3 linked regions of the Cricetulus griseus genome follow. The protein of the gene in region 1 purifies or fractionates together with the protein of each later gene. This does not show direct contact. Links are inferred from orthologs where the notes say so. Each region holds a gene or a part of one and is shown in the gene's direction. Other genes may lie near its edges.

The links.
Region 2: the proteins of Kat7 (region 1) and Ing4 purify together in Homo sapiens (affinity purification with western blotting; 6 studies listed by BioGRID and IntAct, with this or other methods). This does not show direct contact. The link is inferred for Cricetulus griseus from reciprocal best matches to the Homo sapiens genes KAT7 and ING4.
Region 3: the proteins of Kat7 (region 1) and Brpf3 purify together in Homo sapiens (affinity purification with mass spectrometry; 3 studies listed by BioGRID and IntAct, counting the BioPlex papers as one, with this or other methods). This does not show direct contact. The link is inferred for Cricetulus griseus from reciprocal best matches to the Homo sapiens genes KAT7 and BRPF3.

What each region holds. Positions count from the first base shown.
Region 1 is NC_048600.1:108,451,234-108,454,712, reverse strand, and holds the end of Kat7 (histone acetyltransferase KAT7), read left to right. Parts: intron 1-541; coding exon 542-648; intron 649-1,223; coding exon 1,224-1,325; 3' UTR 1,326-2,888; downstream 2,889-3,479. UniProt on the Homo sapiens protein: Catalytic subunit of histone acetyltransferase HBO1 complexes, which specifically mediate acetylation of histone H3 at 'Lys-14' (H3K14ac), thereby regulating various processes, such as gene transcription, protein ubiquitination, immune regulation, stem cell pluripotent and self-renewal maintenance and embryonic development.
Region 2 is NC_048601.1:21,385,945-21,390,080, reverse strand, and holds the start of Ing4 (inhibitor of growth protein 4), read left to right. Parts: upstream 1-1,262; 5' UTR 1,263-1,329; coding exon 1,330-1,366; exon of another isoform or gene 1,367-1,480; intron 1,481-4,136.
Region 3 is NW_023276806.1:233,898,323-233,902,666, forward strand, and holds the start of Brpf3 (bromodomain and PHD finger-containing protein 3), read left to right. Parts: upstream 1-1,509; 5' UTR 1,510-1,621; intron 1,622-2,062; exon of another isoform or gene 2,063-2,082; intron 2,083-2,129; exon of another isoform or gene 2,130-2,283; intron 2,284-4,344. Other genes in the region: basic proline-rich protein-like, read right to left, coding at 826-1,509. UniProt on the Homo sapiens protein: Scaffold subunit of various histone acetyltransferase (HAT) complexes, such as the MOZ/MORF and HBO1 complexes, which have a histone H3 acetyltransferase activity.

The sequences.
Region 1 (3,479 bases):
GGAGTTGTTAACACTCAATTCTTCTAAAAACCAAGAGGAGGACCTGGAGACCTGGCTCAGCATTTGAGAGTACTGGCTGCTCTTCTGGAGGAATCCGGTTCAATTCATTGCACCTAGATTGTGGCCCACAACAGTATGTAACTCCAGTTCTAGGCATACATGTGGTACATAGACATACATCCAGGCAACACACGCATATGCATAAAATACATACATACACATGTGAATATATGTCATTTCTTTTAAAAATCAAGAAGAATGGTTTCAAGTATTATGAAGCATTGGAATTTTAGGAAAGACATCTGGCCCTTTCACAGGAAGAATTTCTTAACAAGATTGACCTTGATTTCTAAGTGGCCCAGAGTAGCTTCTTGCCATTGAATCTGTTTTGGGTAGTTACTTGGGCTGGTCAAACATTTTGATCAGGTAACCTAAGTGCCACAGATTTGTGCTCTGGAAAACTACATGTAAGGGGGCCTTGGGAGACATGGGAGTGGGGTTCTGTGTTTCAACTGAGATCTCAGTAGCGCCTCTGTTACAGAAATCAGCCAGGAAACAGCTGTGAATCCGGTGGACATTGTCAGCACTCTGCAAGCCCTTCAGATGCTCAAGTATTGGAAAGGCAAGCACCTAGTTTTAAAGAGACAGGTGAGAGTCCCCTCAGCTGCCCTTGGTGTCCTCAGAGCTTAACAAAGCTCTGTGGCTGCACTACCCACTGTTTACTTCCCTTAGAGGGTGTGACTGGAAGCTCCTAGCCTCGTTCCAGCTGGCAGCCAGGTCCTCGTGGCCTTTGTTGCTAAGCTTATTTCCTCCCTTGTCCTTATCTGAGCTTTGGGTAAGCTCTGTCAGATCTGGATGACACAAGCTAAGCAGCTTTGTGAGGCCTAACACTTCTGCCCATCCATGGGAGTTCTCATGAGTTCCAGGAGTCTCATAAGTGGTTTGGGATTATTTTGTCAAATGCTACCTCAGCTCATGCCATTTTTGCATTTTTAGTTACTTACATGTAATAAGTAAAAATGAATTAATAGTTTTCAGTTCTCATAGAATGAAGAAATAGGAAGAAATAGAGAGGAAAGCAGCTTGCAAATCCAAATATAATATCATGTTTTACCTTTAATATATTATTGGAACCTGGATGAATCTGTCTCTAGTCATTTTGGAATCTGTTTTAAAGTGTGTTAGTTTCATGTATGTAATAGTTGCTCCTTTGTTCTTCACAGGACCTAATAGATGAATGGATAGCCAAAGAGGCCAAAAGGTCCAACTCCAATAAAACCATGGATCCAAGCTGCTTAAAATGGACCCCTCCCAAGGGCACTTAAAGTGACCTGTCCTTCTGAGCCAGCGAGCCCAAGCAGTAGGAATCCGTACCCTAGGGATCTGTCTGTCATTTCTGTTGCTCTTGTGATTGGCAAGTACAGTATCCTTTGGGAAGGCCATCCCCCTCAGGACTGTCCTGGCTCCGACCTTCGTGTACACTGCAGACACTAGTTCTGAGGAACTGTTGTTTCGGCCTCAGTGAGGTTGCCTGGACGGATCTGTATTAGGCTCAAGTACAGATCCTCATAGCACTGACCCAAGGAGTTGTGTTATGGTACTGTACCTGTCCAGTCACTGGTTCCTTCCTCATGTTCTTTAGCTCCGTGAGGTTTGTTGTGTCCTGAACTTTGTGCTAGTGCTTTTTCCTGCCTGGTCACCAGACCTCCAAACATGGTTGCCACCGAAGGGCCCTTTGCAGTTATTCCTTACACATTCTTCATGAAGGGTGGGGAACAGGCAGCACTTGTGAGTATATGTATGTCTACTAGGAGGGTCCATTCATCCTGGGTTTCATCTCATGGTTGCTTTTTTTTCTCCGTTTTTGTCAAATGACTTGCCTTTAGTCAGGCTCAGGCTGACCCGAGCTTGGGCCGCCTGAAGCGTTTCCCAGGGGATCACAGCACCTGGTCCATGTGGATGAGACGGGGTGAAGAAGAAGAAGAGGTGGTGCCTCCATGTTTCCCTTTGTATTCACTTGTGGGCACTGGGGCAGTAGCTTGTTGGAAGGAAATGGTTAATTTTTTTTTCCACAGCAGAAAATGCCCCCTCTTTCTTTTTTTTCCTGCCCCCTTTATGTTGGCAGTTGCCAAATACTTTAACAGTTTTCTTTTATGCCACATGTTAATTGATTCATCACACTGCAGATATTTCCACCTGCCTTTGCCAGTCTGGTATAGGGCAGCTATACTTCCACATAAGTTGCACTGATTTTGTCCAGAGCTTCCTGGGAGAAGTGGAAAGTGCTTGAAAATGGCTTCTGTTTCTCAGCCCATGACTCAGCAAGACAGAGTGGCCACACCCTACCGGTTTGCTTCCCCTTTCAGTAGTGCCTCCCCTACAGCAGGCTGAAGTGCTTCTGTCCCTCCGAGAACTTCATTTCCCTTGTGGGACTTGCCACCATCATCCTGTTGTCTGGTTTCCTATTTTTGGTGGTGTTAAGTGAAGGAAGAAATGTTCCCTCTAATTTCTCCCTGTCCCATTATATAACCTGCTATCTTGGGGCAGCTTTTGATGTCTGACATGTCACCCTTCCCAACTTGGTCTCCTCCAGCACTGCTGTCTTCACGTGGCACCCTCACCACAATCCTAACTCTGGTCATTTGTGCCTTTCTCTTGTCATCTCTGTACACTACTAATATTCACTGTGGGTTGGAGGGAGCTGATTTTAAGCATGTTCAGTGGCAGCTCCCTTCCAGTTTCAGTGTCACTGTTAAAATTTATCCAAATGCCGCTTCACTGGGGATTTTTCTTAAGGGGTAAAGGCCTTTTACAGATGCGGAACCCTTCCCCACGTGTGGTAGAATGTGCTCTTCTATATCTACTCAATAAAGCATGTTCTCTGCTCATGTCTGATTAATCTGATTAATGATAATAATTTATATGTGGCAGTGATGTGATTGACCTGTGGCTAATGGCTCAGTGAAGTGTTAGTGGGGTTTGTAGCTGTGGATTGCTTTCCCCAGTAAAACAGATTGTTGACAGAGTGAGTGTTTACTCTGTACTCATAATTGGCAGAACAAATTGAATCCGCCTCTGTTTGGCTCCAAGAACTGGTTGTGCACAAAAGTGGCTAGCTGGTTTAACATTCTTTGATTCTTCTGCCTCTGATTTGGGCGTGGAACTAGTGGAAGGTTGAGATAGGTGGGGGTACCATGGATGTTTATAGGAGACAGAAACAAGTGTGGTTCTTTTTCTCCAATATGTCCACTACTTTCAAGTCCTGCCATCTCTAATCATCACCCAGCCCAGATTGTGCTTTTGGAAACAGTCACATTTTGCTTGTGTTTGCTGGGGTGGTCTTGCTCACTGGCAGGCCTTCCTACTGCAGTTGAGAAATGCAATGAAGAAAAATAGCTTCCCCTTCTATTCATCTTAGAACAGGATTTGTTCAAGTCTCTGTTGTGACATTTGCAGCAAAGGGAAAATTTGTTTACAGA
Region 2 (4,136 bases), on another chromosome or scaffold:
TCTAATGTATTACAATGTTGGTTAGCTTCCTGGTGGGTTGTTTTTGTTTTTTGTTTTTTGTTTTTTGTTTTTTTTTTTCCTCACTGACTACAGTCTCTGACAACCTTGTTTTCATCACAAGTATTGGAATAAGTACCTTTGTGGGTGAATGTCCATTCCCACTCCCACCCAGTGGTAGTTTTGCCTACTGTTGCTCATTGTATAGAGAAAGGACTGGGCAGAGGTTAAATTGTCCCAACAGCATGCTCTTGTAATTAGAATGGGGTCCACATCTTACTGCCAGGCTTTAGTATCTGCTCAGTAGTAAACTTGGCCTTTTTTACATATTTGGTCTCAGGGAGCTAAAATTCTATCTTAAAAGTATGCTGCGTGGTGCGATTACTGTGAAAGATGGGTGAACTAGAAGCGAAGCTATCAAGACTCTTCCACCACTATTACACCATGGGGTTTGAGTAGCAGCAACCTGCCAGGCTCTTGCTTTTGCACAAGGGATGATACTTTTGACTAGGGGGATGGCTGATGGTGGTCTAGCTATCATAAACCTTGATGGCCCAGTCTTTTGGGAGTCACGTTAACATCATACATAAAATACAAAACAAAAACATGGGGTCTCCCGTTAAGAGCACAACTGCAAAATCAATGAGTGTTGTGCTCTATGGGAGCGTATGTCAATTAAAGAACAGGAACCTTAGCCAAGTGTGGTGGCGCACGCCTTTAATCCCAGCACTCGCGAGGCAGAGATAGGCGGACCTCTGAGTTCGAAGACAGCCAGGGCTACACAAGAAAACCCTGCGTTGTAAAAAAAAAAAAAAAAAAAAAAAGTGAATAGAGGTGCAAAAGTTTTGCAAGGCCTGACAACTTTCGAAGAAAGCATCTGTCTCGGAGATTATTCCTGCTTCAGCTTTGATGACCAAATTCAAAATAAGCAGAGCAAAATAAATGGATTCCCTACTTGCTGAAAGGAGGTGTTTGCAGGATATAATTCTAGACAAAACAGTTTCTTCCCCCATCTACCAAATACGCCTGTTTGGAAGGGAAAAAAGTTTGCTAGAGAATGCAAAATGGCGACCTCGTGTGACGTCATACCTGTCTCGGTAAGACACTGGCGTCGTAAGGGCGGAAGCAAGCTAAAGCCGCCTCGCTGTGGGCGACCGCGACTAGCCCTGCGAAAAGGTTCAATGTCGGGCGGATGTATCTGGGGGGCGACAGTTTAGTAAGGGCGGAAGTCCTTTGAAGTACGGAAAGGCTCTAGTCCAAGAATGGCTCCAGCGCCTGTCTAGTTTCAGTCACTTCCGGGGCGGATCGGAAGTTGCTTTGTTTTGCTTCAAGATGGCTGCTGGGATGTATTTGGAACATTATCTGGACAGTAAGAGCCGACCGAAGCAGCGGGTCGTGGGTCGTGGAGCGGTGCGGAGGGTCCGGGTTGACAGAGTCTGTAGCTCCGAGGCCCTGGGGGCCTGAAGCTCACAGTTGAGAAAGAGTTGCGTGGGAAGATTGATTCGAGGGAGGAGGAGGAGGAGGAGGGGGCGGGGCAGGGCAATAGAGGCCTCGCTAGTGTTTAGACCCGGGCAGGGCTGCCCGGCCGGGGCAGGGCTGCGTTTCGAAGCGATGCGGGTGGCAGGGGAGGTGTTTCCTGGCTCAGTTCTTCAGGGTCCTTGTCCTCGGGCTACATTTTTGTCTCCTAAGTTGCCCAGGGTCGTTATCACTCATTGTCATCTGGAGCAGCTGCAAATACGTGGTGTAGTTCCCTTTAGTCATTTATGTCCCCAGAGTGGCTTCTCATGAAACTAGGTGGATGCAAGGAACGACCACTTGAGTTGTTTAAACTGGGACACTTGCAAAATCCAGTTCTCATAAAATGAGTTGTGTGTGTTGACAGGCTGGGGACTGAGAATAGGCTGGAAGTAGATTAAACAGTGTTTTATGCCACACAAGATATTTGCATGTTAAAATAGAGTATTGATTTTAATAAAGGAAAGTAACTGATCAGTTAACTGCAGCAGTCCCCAAGTCAGAAATGCAAACCTGATCTTAGAGAATGACAGAAATTTTTAGATATTAACCATAACTTTGTGATTGAGAAGCAAAAATCAAGGTGAATTCTGCAGTGTAGGAGATTTGGGCATCATACAAATATATATATTTGCCTTAGAAATAGGTATAAAGTCTGTCACAGTGAGATCATTCAGGGAAAAGAAAGTGAGCAAGTAAGAAAAAAAAATCTCAAGGAAACAGCCTTTAAAGGATAAGACATCAGTGTTGAAGTTACTGGCTCTACGGTTTAGTATTTGTAAGACTAGGAGGAAGAAAGTCACTTTCAAGAGAAGATAATATGAACAAAGGGTGGATCCTTTGATTTGGTAATCTGTTGGTGACTTAAAGGATCCTAGTGAGCTGATGTTGAAGCACCTTTTTGTTGTTTTTTCAAACAGTGTCTAATGGTACATAGCTGAGGATGACCTTGAACTCCAGGTCCTCTTTCCATCTCCCCTGGGCTAAAATTATAAGCATGTGACATCATGCCTGGTTTAGTAGAAACATTTTTTCTCTTTTTTTATTTTTTACATTCCAATCCCAGTTCTCCCCCTGTCCTTTCTTCCCACTTCCTCCACTCCCCCTTCCTCCCATCTGCTCCAAGGACAGGGTAAGACCTGCCATAGGAAGTCTACTAAATCTGTTCCCATCATCTAGTTATTAGAAACTTTTTTTGGGGGGGGGTGAGTTCCAAGACAGGGTTTTTCTGTGGCTTTGGAGGCTGTCCTGGAACTTGCTCTTGTTGACCAGGCTGGTCTCTTGAACCCACAGAGATCAACCTGCCTCTGCCTCTCAAGTACTGGGATTAAAGGCGTGTGCCGCCGGTAGAAACACTTTAAAAATTGGTGGGTGTGGTGGCACATGCCTTAAATCCCAGCTCTTAGGAAGTTCTCTGAGTTTGAAACCAGCCTGGTCTGTATATTGAGCTCTAGGCCAGCAGGGCTACACAATGAGACCCTATCCAAAAAAAAAAAAAAAAAGTGATGGTAGAGCACTTGCCTAGCAGATGCAAGCCCCTGGGCTGGGGGGATGAGATTTTGCTTCTATGGGGAGACTTAGCTAATAATGCATTTATTCAAGGATTCCCTGGCACTTTCTGTTTGCATGGCAATTCTAAACCTGAGGGAATTGTAAAATTGATACAGACACGTATCTGCCCTGGAAGGCTAGGGAGACGACACAGAGTAAATAACTATGTTAATTATTTAGTTATGGTTGGATAAAAAACTAAAAGTATTCACTAGACTACCTTGGCGCCTATCACAGTCTGGGAAAGTCAAGTTCTGGGCTGCACTTTGAAGAATGAGCAGAAAGTGAGTAGGTATGGTGGGGTGGGAGGAGGAAGACAGCTCTTGGAAAGCTGGTGAGCGAGATTGCACCCAAAAGGCCTGAGCAGAGAGACTGCGTGGCTGAGTGAGGTGATCGAGATAGGAAGCTCAGAGCACGAGAAATAAGGAGTTACTGGAAGGTCATGGTGTGCGTGATGAGTGCTGAAGGAACTAGGTTGGTATTTTAAGTGGGGGGCAAAGAAGATGGAGCAGAAACTGAAAATAAAGGGAAAACTAGTGTGTAGATTGTCACAGAAGAGGAGGAGGATGGGATGGTTACACAGAGACAAGCTAATTGAGAGAGAGAGAGAGAGGCCAGTCTTCTCTGTTGAACAAAGGCAAATGAATCCTTCCCAGATAAACCCATTTCAGGGCTGGGATGTTAAGAGTGCTTAGCTAGCATGCAGGAGACCCTGGGTTTGATTCCCCAACACTGAATATATCTGGTATATTGACACAGAACTATTAGGTCCCAACATTTGGGAGTTTGATAAACGATAACTAGAAATTCATTGTTGGGCATCCAGGCTAGGCTACAGAGACCCTGTCGTCAAAAGAAAAAAGAAAGAAAAATTCAAATGAGGAGAATGAGAAGAAGCTGAACTGCACCTCATTTTTTTTTTTTTTGGTTTTTTTGTTTTTTTGTTTTTTCGAGGCAGGGTTTCTCTGTGGCTTTGGAGGCTGTAGCCCAGGCTGGTCTCAAACCCACAGAGCTCCTCCTGCCTCTGCTTCCCGAGTGCTAGGATTAAAGGCGTGTGCCACCAATGCCCGGCT
Region 3 (4,344 bases), on another chromosome or scaffold:
TCTGCTCTTGCTCAGCCCAAGCCATGCCCTTCCCTTCTTAAAAATTGGCTATTTTTGCAGTACCCATCTATCGAGAAAGGACCCCTGTAACGAAAACTAACTGCCTTGGTTTACTGGGCTGGTAAACTCTGAATCATTTACTTAGGGTGCTGAACACCTATACTTCCATCTTTGGACCCTAAGAGTTTATTCTCTATCCTTCCAACGGTATCACCCGTGCCCTGGGTATCAGAGCCAAGCAAGCAATTGTGAAAGTCTCTTCAACCGTGCGAGCGAGCGGAGGCAACGCTTTCAAAATATGTCATTCATCTTCATACTCGGTGGCAGCTTATCCATATACCCTGTATAAGCACCATTAAGTATCGGTGTTTAAGACCTCCGTCATGAGAGGTAAGCTTTCAAATTTATAGGCACAAGGGGGTTGGCAAAGGGACCCTTTTCTCCTACTTATTTTTCTTTTATTGGAACAAAAGCCAGTTTGGGTACACCTCCAAGTCTGAAGTTGCTATTTGTCAGGCAGGCGTCTTTTAGAAAGCCGCGTAGTGCATTCAATTAACCGACTCCTGGACGAATCAGAATCGGGGAGAAAAGTATTTCCCATGCCTAGAGTGTCACACGGAACTAGGAAGCTCGCTTAAGCAGACTGTCAAACTTTTATGTTTGCTTGAAAAAACAAAAACAAAACCAACAACAACAAGCCACACAGATGGAAGAGTCGGGTCTGTTGCAGCAGCCGTGTGAGGAACAGGAGGCTCACCTGGACACACAACAGACGCGGGTCTTCCCCGGGCTGTCCTCACTGGGGGAGGGGAGGGGTGGACACCGCTAGACCTTTGTCCCGGGGGCCTGGGGAGGGACGACTTTGTGGGATCCGCGCGGCCACCTGCGCCGGTGGAAGCCACACACCGCCGGGACCTCCTCGGTGGTCGCCTGGTGACACTCTGGGGGGGCGGGGAGGGCGCAGGGGGCTCCACCTGGGGGGGGGGCGGCGGGGCCTCCACGCTCTGACCGGGGTGGGGGAGGCCAGGGCTCCCCGAATTCAGAGCGCGAACCGCTGCGGGGCAGGCCGGGGGTGAAGCGCGGCGGCGAGCCGGACAGCCTGCGCTCGGCCCCGCTCGCCCGCCCGAGCCGGGGAAGGTGGCTCCGCGCTCCGTCTCCCCGCGCAGCCGCCAGCACCGCGCCGGGCTCGGGCGGGGGCACCGGCTCCGGTCGGGCTCCCCGCGCTTTCGCGCTCCCGCTTCGCGTGCGGCGGCTCGAGCCGGGGAGGGAGCGAGGGAAGGGGTGGAGGTGGCGGGGGGAGGCCGAGGGGCGGATCCTGCCTGGGGGCTGATCCCTCCCTCCCTCCCCTCGGCCGGGCTCCGTGGCGGCAGCGGTGGCGGCGGCGGCGGCGGCTCCATTCCCCCTCCCCCCGGGAGCGGCGGCCGGGCCGGGGGAGACGGAGCGGAGGGCCGGGGCCGGGGCCGGCGGCGGCGGCGGCGGAGGAGGCGGAGGCCGCGCTCCCTCAGCCATCGGGCCCGCGCGCGGACCTGCTCGGTGGCCCGCCCGCTCGCCCGCTCGCCCGCTCGCCCGCCCGCCCGCGCCCACGGGGCCCCAGAAACCAGGGGCCCGGCCGGCGGCTGAGGTAAAACGGGGCGGCGGCGGCGGCGGCGGGGCCGGAGCGAGCGGGGCGGCGGGGGCGAGCGCGGCGCGCAGGGGGGGCAGCCGGGGCAGCACAGGGGGGCGTCCCGGTGGGGCGCGGGGGCGACGCGCGAGCCACCCCCCCCCACACCCCGCGGAGCGAGGGCGGCGACGGAGCCGGGGAAGGCGCGCGAGGGGGAGCTGCAAAGCGAGGACCCCCTCCCGCACCCGCCATCTTGTTTCTTCCCCGGTCCTGGCAGCCGGGCGGCTAAGCCCCGCCCTCCCCGTGCTCTCCTATTGGCCGGGCCGGGCGAGAGTTCCGCCTTTCGGGGGCCGCTCTCGGCGCCCGGGTTCCCCCTTGACGGGCAGGTCGGGCGGCCAATGAGTGCTCGCATCTCTGCCCCCGCCCCCTCGTCGGCTGGCGCTCGCCTTCCCTGCGAGGGTCGGACTCGGCGTCAGCCTGTGGTGCGCTTCCCCTGAGGTGTCCGGGGAGATGTTCTCCCTCTCCCCTCCGGGGGTCGGGGCCCTGAAGACTCCCGCCGAAGGGGCGCCCCTCTGAAGGGGCGGGGAGCTTGTCCGGGGTCTCACCCGGCCTCCTGAGCCTCCCGTGTGGCGTGCAGGGCGGGTTCGGTCCAATTGTTGAAACCCCTGGTTCGGGGGGTCAGGGTGAGGTGGGCGAGTCGAGTCGGGGCTCGGGCAGCGGAGGACGTGGCTCGACGGGGTGTTGGGGGTACCAGGGACGTGTGTAGGAAAAGACTTGCGGACGTGAGGAAACTCCCGCCAAAAATAACGCGGTCTGGATGTTAGCTCCTTGTAGGCGAAACTCTTGGCTTTCCTCAGCCGCAGCCCTGCCTCGCTGTTTGCTCCTGGTGACAGCGGGAGCCCCGAGTGTGTGTGGGGGGGTCGGGACTGGAACTTGGGGGCGGGTTGAGAGACGATTTCTGAGGCTGCAGATGGGTAGAGAGGGGCACTGTAGACTCTTCAAAATTGATACTGAAGTACCTGTTCCCTCCCCGGAGGCTCCCTGCCTTTGGAGGGTTGGGGAATACGTCGTGTTTGTTCAGGGCTGGGGCTGCTTCGGAGACCTTGACCCCCCCCCCCTTCAGAGACAGGATTTCTCTGTGTAGCTTTGGAGGCTGTCCTGGAACTCACTCTGTAGACCAGGCTGGCCTCAAACTCACTGAGATCCTCCTGCCTCTGCCTCCCGAGTGCTGGGGTTGAAGGCGTGCACCACCAATGCCCTGTGCTCCCTTGACATTTGTAAATGATCTAGTGGCCCCAGGGCTTCGGGAACCTGAACAGAGTTGCTGTCATTGTTCTGTTTTCCTTTGGTTCCAAATGGTTTTGTATACCTGCCACATATTGCTCCTCAGACAGCTTAGTTTAAGTCACACCTTGGAATTTAAAGGCCTTATCACTATGGTTGTCAGCGATAATTTATTGATCGTTCTTAAGAAAACATTTGCCTAGACAGTGGTGGCAAACACTTTAATCCCAGCACTGTAGAAGCAGAGACAGGCAGATCTCTGAATTCAAGGCCAGCCCAGTCTACAGAGTGAGTTCCAACACAGCCAGAGCTACACATAGAAACCCTATCTCAAACAACAAATATGTTTTTGTTCATGCTTTTATCTTTTTTTTGAGGGGGGGTTTCGATACAGGGTTTCTCTGAAGGTTTGGAGACTGTCCTGGAACACTCTTTGAAGACCAGGCTGGCCTCGAACTCACAGAGATCCACCCACCTCTGCCTCCCGAGTGCTGGGTTTAAAGGCATGCGCCACCAACGCTTGGCTGCTTTTATCTATTTTTATTTATTTATTTTTTGTTTTCATTTTTATGTGTATGCATATTTTGGCTGATATATTTCTGGTTTCCCTGGGAGTCCAGATACCAATACCCTGGAACTGGAGTTAAAGAGTTGTGATCCACAATGTGTGTGCTAGAAATCAAACCTAGGTCCTCTTAACTGCTGAGCTCTCTTCCCAGCCCTTATATATTTACTTTTTAAGGGAGAGTCTCACTATGTGCTGTGGCTGGTCTGAAAAACTGTGTAGATGTGGCTGACCTCAAAGTTCACAGATACTGGCCTGCTTCTCCCTCCCAAGTGCTGGGATTAAAAGAATACCAATGTACCCAGCACTGCCCGTGATTTATTGATGAAGTGTGGAGACACGGGGACATTAAAAACTTTGTCCAGGTTACAGGGGACTAAGATTAAAACCCAGATTGGTGCAGAACGTCTTTGTAGAGATCCCAGGGTCTCACTGGTGTTCATAACCTCCCAGCTCGAACACAGGTGATCAGGAGTCAAGTCAGCTTTGGCTGAGTCACAGTTTTCTGAGCTTCTGTTTCTTCATGCCTGACATGGAAATGATAATGTCTGCACAACCTCCTGAGGTAGCCATGAGAAATGGTAAAAAGAAAAGGCCATTGTAGTGTGTGAAAGTATGCTGAACTGTCATTGTTGTATCTCAAAAGTCTTCCTGTTGTTCCTACCAATGATGGCCTTGGTAACTGCCTGTAACTACTCCTTAGGGGCTTGGCATAGTTCCCTACATCCAGAGAATGCTGTGGGAAGCCTAAGGCTTTCTCTGCTACCCAAGGGTGGATCGGATGTAAATATCAAGGGATAGAGATTTCTGAGGTAATAGTACATTGAGAATTCATCTCAGATACTACCCCAATCAGCTTGTCCTTGAGTCCAATGAAAATCTCCAAAGGCTTCTT